Linked DNA regions of Mus musculus. The protein of the gene in region 1 binds, or shares a complex with, the protein of each later gene. Links are inferred from orthologs where the notes say so. Each region holds a gene or a part of one and is shown on either strand. Other genes may lie near its edges.

Region 1 (3,500 bases):
TCCGCACTCAGCCCAAGAAGTGGTTCACAAGACTCCTCATATAATCCTCATCGGAGCCACACCTGAACAGCACATCTAAGCGACAACATTATCCTGCCGCACAACACAACAGGTTATCTTTCACAAACCTTCAGTCACGCTAGGAAGCGATCCATCTGTGAGCTCCACACCCCTCTACCACTCTCCCCTCCCGCCTGGCTGCTAGCCTTCCCTGCCCTGTTCTAAGCTTCAACCCACTGAGCTGCTCATCATTCCTGGGTACCATGCTCCTGCCTTCTCCCTATGGCTCCCCACTCATCTGAAATGGTCTGCCTTGCCTGTCTTCCCTCATAGCTCTCATATGCTCTGTGTGTGGCCTTTCCTCTTCCTGAGAGACCCCTGAAGACCCACAGGGGATATCCTGCCTTCTCTAAAACTTGGCTCTCAGGAGGACACCCTGGAGAGCTACGGATTTCCTAAGTTATCCCTCTTCCTGGGTGTCGGTGCTCAGCAGAATTCCTTAGGATGTCTGTTTGTTTTCCTAGAAGCAACCAATCCTCACAAGTTTCCTCGGATAGTTAACACAACAGATTGTGCTAGCTTCTCTTTTAGAAATCTGGCTTTTGAAGGTCAGAGTCCGTATGGCAGCGGAAGAGCTTCTAGAATGAATCTAGCCTCTTCCCCCAGCGCTGACGAGCACAAATACCCAAAGAGAACTCAGACAGAGGACGCCAATGGTGTCAAGGCCCACCATACAGAAGGACGGCAAGGCCCTCCTAGAAGAGGTTGTTTCGTTTAACAGTGTTTCTCAAACCCTTTAATAGTGAAACACCTCGGTATATTAGTGATGCCATAAAAATAGTTAACACGTATTGTTTAATCCCAGTTAGCTCAGTTAATCCTTCATGTAGTTCAGTCGACTGACATTCGTAACTGTTCTTCCTCTGCCTTATGGCCAATAGCTGTTTTTATCGATGATAATTGGATAATGTAGAGATCATCAAATGTAACCTTGTTTGCTTTCACAAGGATTAATTAGGTCCAGATAAACTCGTCAAAAGGGGAAAAAAATCTAATTACTATTGCCTGAATGACTGACTGCTAAGAGGCTAAGTAACAAGGCTGGACTATCACACAGTAAAAGCTAGATGGAAACCCAGAGCGCAATAGCGGGAAGGTACCACCCACAAGAGCTGCACTTCCTTCTTCCGATGTGTGTGTGCATGAGAGACAGCATCTTTTTTTTTTTTTATTTTTTTTTAAAGATTTATTTATTTATTACATGTAAGTACACCATAGCTGTCTTCAGACACACCAGAAGAGGGCGTCAGATCTCGTTACGGGTGGTTGTGAGCCACCATGTGGTTGCTGGGATTTGAACTCTGGACCTTCGGAAGAGCAGTTGGGTGCTCTTACCCACTGAGCCACATTGAGCAGGTTTGACTAGAACTCACTACGTAGCCAAGGCTGACTCTGGACTTCTGATCCTCCGTCCCTCTACTTCCTGATCCCTGGAATCGCAGGCACAACACACCCTCCTTTTATTTAGTGATGGGGAACCAGAACCAGGGCTTTGCGCATGGTTGGCAAGTGCTCCGACCCCTTCCTCAGACTCTGACCAAGCATCCAAGATACATACAAATACCTTTCTTTGTTTTAGTTATTCTTTTAAATTTATATAATAATTATTGGGGTGTTTTGGGAGGGTGCTGGGAACTGAACCCAGGGCTTGAGGATTCCAAGTACATACCACACATTCACTCACTATTGCTTGTCCATGTGAGGGAGGGTGCATGCACATTATCTATGTGCGCATGCGTGTGGAGAGCTTGTGCATGTAGAAGGCAGGGATTATGCCCAGAGCCATCTTGTTTTCTATGACACCATCTTTCACAAACCTAGAACACAACTTCCCCCAACTCCCCCAAGAAAAGTGGGCTGGCCAGCCACACCATCTCACTAACCTGGAACCACCCCCACACTTCCAAAGTAGTGTAAGCTGGCTGGTCTGTAATCCCCAGGTATCCTCCTGCCTCCACCTTCTTGGTGCTGGGATAACACCATCACACTTGGATATTTACTTTGGTTCTAGACTGAACTCTGAGTCTCATGCTCATAAGCCAAAGCCTATACTAATAGAGCCATGACCAGAGTACACTATGCTTTCCAACCCAGCCCTCTGTGCTAAAGGCACGTCTCAACTTCATTCCACTCAACTTTGTTCACAATATAGAATGAATATTTTTAAACAGTTATGTGAACGATTCCAGCTTCTTAGCTGAAACGCTATAAATCACCCTGGCGTGGAGCTGTCCCCGGTCCCAGCGCCTCACCGGCTGAAGCACTTTGTAGAGCATGTCGCTCACACTTCCACTCCCCTCTGCCATTGCCTGTGCAGACACACTGAAGCAGGTTTCCTCGGTTGTCCTTCTTGCTCCACGTGTCTCCAATCCTATAGGATGTCCGGGTGTCCTGATCGTTGCATCTGTCTGTTTCAGGAGAGAAGCATTGAATATAGAAGTTATCTAGTAACCGACACGCAGCCATCCACACTAAGATGGGAATGCTGCAGTTGAATGCTTCTGAGTGGCTGTTGTTGGTGTTAGTACATCCTACCCAGTGCTGGTGATGCATATATTAAAATTCAGATACCCGGTTCGTTACAGTACAGCCCTACCTCTCCATTTGCCAAAGGAAAAAAAGAAAAAATACTATTCAGTGTCTTTTATTGATTAAAAAAAATTAAGATTTTCTACATTGGTTCTTTGACTCAATTAATTATCTGGCAATCTACTCTTTACTCCTCAGTGTCTTCCAGACCTTTTTCTGTAATTACAGCCCATGGCCCTCCTTTCAATAAACAATAAGGAGGCAGGTCTCTTCCGACTGCCCCAGGGAAGCTAAAAAGTTAACCACACCAATCTCTCCACTTGTTATGTAAAAGTATTCCTGTGGAAAAACAACTTCTCTGGCTAGAAGGTTCTCTTTTCTTGCCCCACCCAAAACCACCTGTTTTACAATTACAAAGTCACCCACGTGGTTAACCCCAGCGTCTGGGAGGTAGGAGCAGGAGTGTTAAGAGCCCAAGGTCTCTCTCAGCAACACAGTAAGTTCTAGGCCAGCCTGGGCTTATGAGAATCCTCCCTGTATAATAGTAATTGTAATAATAACAGTGACAATAACCAATAGCAACGACAAAATGGCTTATCCCACGGTTAAAAGGTCTCTTCTGGAGTTAAGGATGCTGTCTCTTATTATCCTTGTAAAAAGCTGGCCCCAGGCATCCTTCTTCCCTCCCGCTTCTAAGATTGTCTTGAAGTCTTAATTGCTGCTTCTGCCTTCAAAGTTCCATTTAGAATTTCAAACTAACAACAGCCTTGGAATTTGCTGAAGCATGAATTTTAAAACGCATGCAAAAAAAAAAAAAGTCAAATCTAGATATCTTGAATGTGTTTTGTTTATCCAGCTTAAACTAGTAATTAAAAATACCACCCAAGTTCAAATTCTTTGCCACACAAAAA
Region 2 (3,500 bases), on another chromosome or scaffold:
GGGCCAAGAGTTGAGCTACAGCATTCTGCAGCTATATCTAAGAGGCCCTCCTTAGCTCTGTCAAGGATGTAAAGTTCTTTCAGGGGTTAAAGGGGCCTACTTGGGGATTCAGGTGGAACCTGGGTTAAGAGGCCCCTGAATTCTACAGAGTGGTAAATAAAGCAACCTCCATCAGGGAGATGCCCCAACTTTCATCCCCATGGTAACACATCAGAAGGGCCTGAGTCACAGGTATTAGATTAACCAGGAAAGCATGAAGATAAATGAGAACCACAAGGGCTCATGGGAAGGGAAGGTTGACTTACTCTGTCACCCTTAGGACCTGGAAGACCAGCTGCACCACGTTCACCAGGCATTCCCTGAAGACCGGGGGCACCCTGGCTACCGGGAGCTCCGGGGGCACCAGTATCACCCTGTTTAGGAAACAAGATTAGTGAGCCCAGAGGTGTCTCAGAGCCATGAGCCCACTTAGGATCCCTTATGTGTGGATCCCAGATCACAGGTTCCAACCAGAGGGACAAACTCACAGACCCGACCTTGTGACTCCTGGGCCCCCACTCTGGTCTTGTCCCCAAGTCCTATGATCTGGGACACAACCGTCATGACCTTTCCACGATGCCCTCACCTTGGCACCATCGTTGCCGGGGGCACCATTGTTTCCTCGGGGACCAGCAGGACCTGGGGGACCTTGTACACCACGTTCACCAGGGAAACCTCTCTCGCCCTAGAAAGGAAGGAAAGGGCACATGATGCTCTGACAGGACCAAGCTTGGGATGTCGTAACGGAAGTGGCACGAGAAGGCTCACTTACTCTTGCGCCAGAGGGTCCAGGGGCACCAAGGTCTCCAGGAACACCCTGAGTGTAGAAAGAGGAACTGCAGTGAATCCAACCTACCCCCACCCCGAGAAAGAACCTCTGCCCCCTCTTCCTAGAAGCTGGACCTCAGGAGCCCACAGGACCACATACTCAGCTTAGAACTGAAATTCCTCATTACAATAGGAAGGCTTGAGGTAAAGCCAGAGTTATTCCAGGAGTGTGTATAGAGAAGTCACCTTGCCTAGAGGCTACCAAGCCAGTGCCAGATCATTTGCAGTGAGTGCCCTCACACATTTGGTATATCCAAAGTCCTCCCTTTGCGTTTAATCCCTATCCCTCTAGCTGGTGATTCCCACCCCCATCAGCTGCAAGCAGTGGGTGGCTGTTTTCTTTGTATTTCTTGCATGCTCCCACCTTCTGTCCTGCTGCTACCTCTTACCTGTTCACCAGGCTTGCCTGCTTCACCAGGAGGACCGGCAGGACCAGGAAGACCCTGTAAGGTGGGAGGTGGAGGGGAGAAGAGGTAGGATTTAGAATCTTTAACAGTTAACAAAGGAGTGTTCTGCACTCTTCCCTGCAAACCTAAGTCATGAAGCCTCACCTGGAATCCAGGGGAGCCAGCGGGACCTTGTTCACCTCTCTCACCAGCAGGACCCTGTGGTAGAGAAGAGGCAGTGGTCATGAATAGTCCAAGGGGAAGGGAAGCAAGGCCCCACCTTTCCTGCTCCCCAAGGCTCGCAGACAGGAATACTTACAGCAGGGCCAGGGGCTCCCTGAGCTCCAGCTTCTCCATCTTTGCCAGCAGGACCCTGTGGGGAGAAGGCAATAAATTCAGTATGGGAGATGAGAGCCGCAGGTAGGGACTGGACCTCTGAGACACAGCAGAGCCCCCTAGTGACTTCCGATGTTGTGACAGTGGCTGCAGACATCCTCCATGGGAGGATGGTGTATGTCACAGGCAGGGGCAGAAAGGTCAGAGACTCCAAAGAGATACTTACAACAGCGCCAGGGGGTCCGGGAAGGCCTCGCTCTCCAGCCTTTCCAGGTTCTCCCTGTGTAGAAAGGGAAGCAAGATTGAGGGTCACAGGTCGAGACTCGTTACAGCCAAGGACCTCTCATTACAGTGAGCATTCCCAAGGGGCTTTCTGTTCAAGAAGACTGCAGGAGGCTGGCAAGCTTCAGGGTCTAGGGAAGGTCTTGCCGGCATCTAATGCTCAGCCTCTCTTCCTGCACCCAAAGCAGTCTCCTGCCCGAGACTCCTTCCTGGTCACCCTTCCCCTTCCCTTCCCCTTGACACACACCTTCACTGACTAATGGCAGTCATCTCAAGGCTCTCCTTACCAGACTTGGGTGTGACTATCACATAAAAAGACCATATTATCTGTGTGTTCAGGGGAGTCTGCCTAGCAATACTTATTTATCAAGGACAGAATGATGGTCATGGAGCCAACCAATGGTCTCTTATTTCACTAATGGGTCCAGAAAGGGTCAGTAAAGGGCCTGAGGTCACACAGAGTGTCAGTCGAGTTAGTATGCCTGTTGCTGGTTCTGTAGTGTTCCTCACTGAATACTCACAGCGGTACCCTTAGGTCCAGGGAATCCCATCACACCAGCCTGGCCACGGGCTCCAGGAGGACCTGCGGGTCCAGGGCGACCATCTTGACCAGCGGGACCCTGAGGATGGGAGGCACAAGAGTTGTGGTAAGGACTAAGGTAGGCACACAGGAGGGTAGGGTGAGGCATGAGAGAACAGGCATACTTACAGGGGGGCCGGTTTTGCCATCAGGACCAGGGCTGCCAGGACTGCCAGTGAGACCCTAGGGTGAAGCAGAAGGCCATGAACGAGGGCAGGAGGAGGGGGATGACAAGGGGAGGAGGGGGATCGGAGTGTGGGAGGGGGGGAGGAGTCTGGAGCACCAGCTGCAGGCTGCTCCAAGTCCCATACAGGACAGAGGATCTTCTCACCTTGGCACCAGGGAGACCAGCTTCACCGGGGCGACCAGCTTCACCAGGAGAACCTTTGGGACCAGCAGGTCCGGGAGCACCACGTTCACCGGAAGGACCCTAAGTGGAGAGAAGTCACAGACGCATCAGGGCCACAGCCTTGGCCTTATTACCACGGGTTTAGCATCCTCTTCATGCTGGGAGAAGGTCTTGGACTTTGAGGTGGATTCGTGGGGATGCCAAAGAGAGGCCAAACAAGAGGAGGAGGGAGACACAGCCGTGGTTGCAAGGCGGCAGGGAGCACAGCTGCGGACATGAGCGTAGGTGGATGTCAACCGTACTGTCAGGGAAGTGACGTCGGGCAGCTGGGGGAGTCAGCTTCTCTGCCAGGAAGAGAGATTACCTTGGGGCCAGCAACACCATCAGCACCAGGGAAACCACGGCTACCAGGTCCACCCTGCAGGGAGAAGGAAAAAAGGCCAGTGAGCCTATTACCATCACAGCACTGGGCAAGCACTAAGAGCAAATGAGGAGAGACACAGGGGACAGGGGACACTTACACGCTCGCCAGGAGGTCCAGGCAGTCCGGAAGGTCCAGGCTCACCACGGGCTCCTCGTTTTCCTTCTTCTCCGGCAGGGCCTGGGGGACCTTGAACTCCAGTAGCACCCTGGAGTGGGCAGAGAGGGAGTAGCCTTGGTGAGGGAGTACAAGCCCAGGAGCCTATGATGCTGGCCTCTA

The links. The genes of interacting proteins can lie anywhere in the genome.
Region 2: the proteins of Fn1 (region 1) and Col1a1 are in contact, whole or in part, in a crystal structure (PDB 3GXE), measured with the Homo sapiens proteins. The link is inferred for Mus musculus from reciprocal best matches to the Homo sapiens genes FN1 and COL1A1. Residues at the interface, in NP_997647.2 of Homo sapiens: Asp516, Gln517, Lys533, His535, Glu537, His539, Leu541, Gly549, Arg550, Gly551, Arg552, Trp553, Lys554, Cys555, Pro557, Gln560, Phe569; in NP_000079.2 of Homo sapiens: Leu261, Pro262, Gly263, Met264, Lys265, Gly266, His267, Arg268.

The regions. Positions count from the first base shown.
Region 1 is NC_000067.6:71,643,235-71,646,734, forward strand, and holds part of Fn1 (fibronectin isoform a precursor), read right to left. Parts: intron 2,469-3,500; coding exon 2,313-2,468; intron 1-2,312. UniProt on the Homo sapiens protein: Fibronectins bind cell surfaces and various compounds including collagen, fibrin, heparin, DNA, and actin. Fibronectins are involved in cell adhesion, cell motility, opsonization, wound healing, and maintenance of cell shape.
Region 2 is NC_000077.6:94,942,724-94,946,223, reverse strand, and holds part of Col1a1 (collagen alpha-1(I) chain preproprotein), read right to left. Parts: intron 3,430-3,500; coding exon 3,322-3,429; intron 3,219-3,321; coding exon 3,165-3,218; intron 2,882-3,164; coding exon 2,783-2,881; intron 2,635-2,782; coding exon 2,581-2,634; intron 2,492-2,580; coding exon 2,393-2,491; intron 1,870-2,392; coding exon 1,816-1,869; intron 1,627-1,815; coding exon 1,573-1,626; intron 1,473-1,572; coding exon 1,419-1,472; intron 1,311-1,418; coding exon 1,257-1,310; intron 857-1,256; coding exon 812-856; intron 725-811; coding exon 626-724; intron 414-625; coding exon 306-413; intron 1-305. UniProt on the Homo sapiens protein: Type I collagen is a member of group I collagen (fibrillar forming collagen).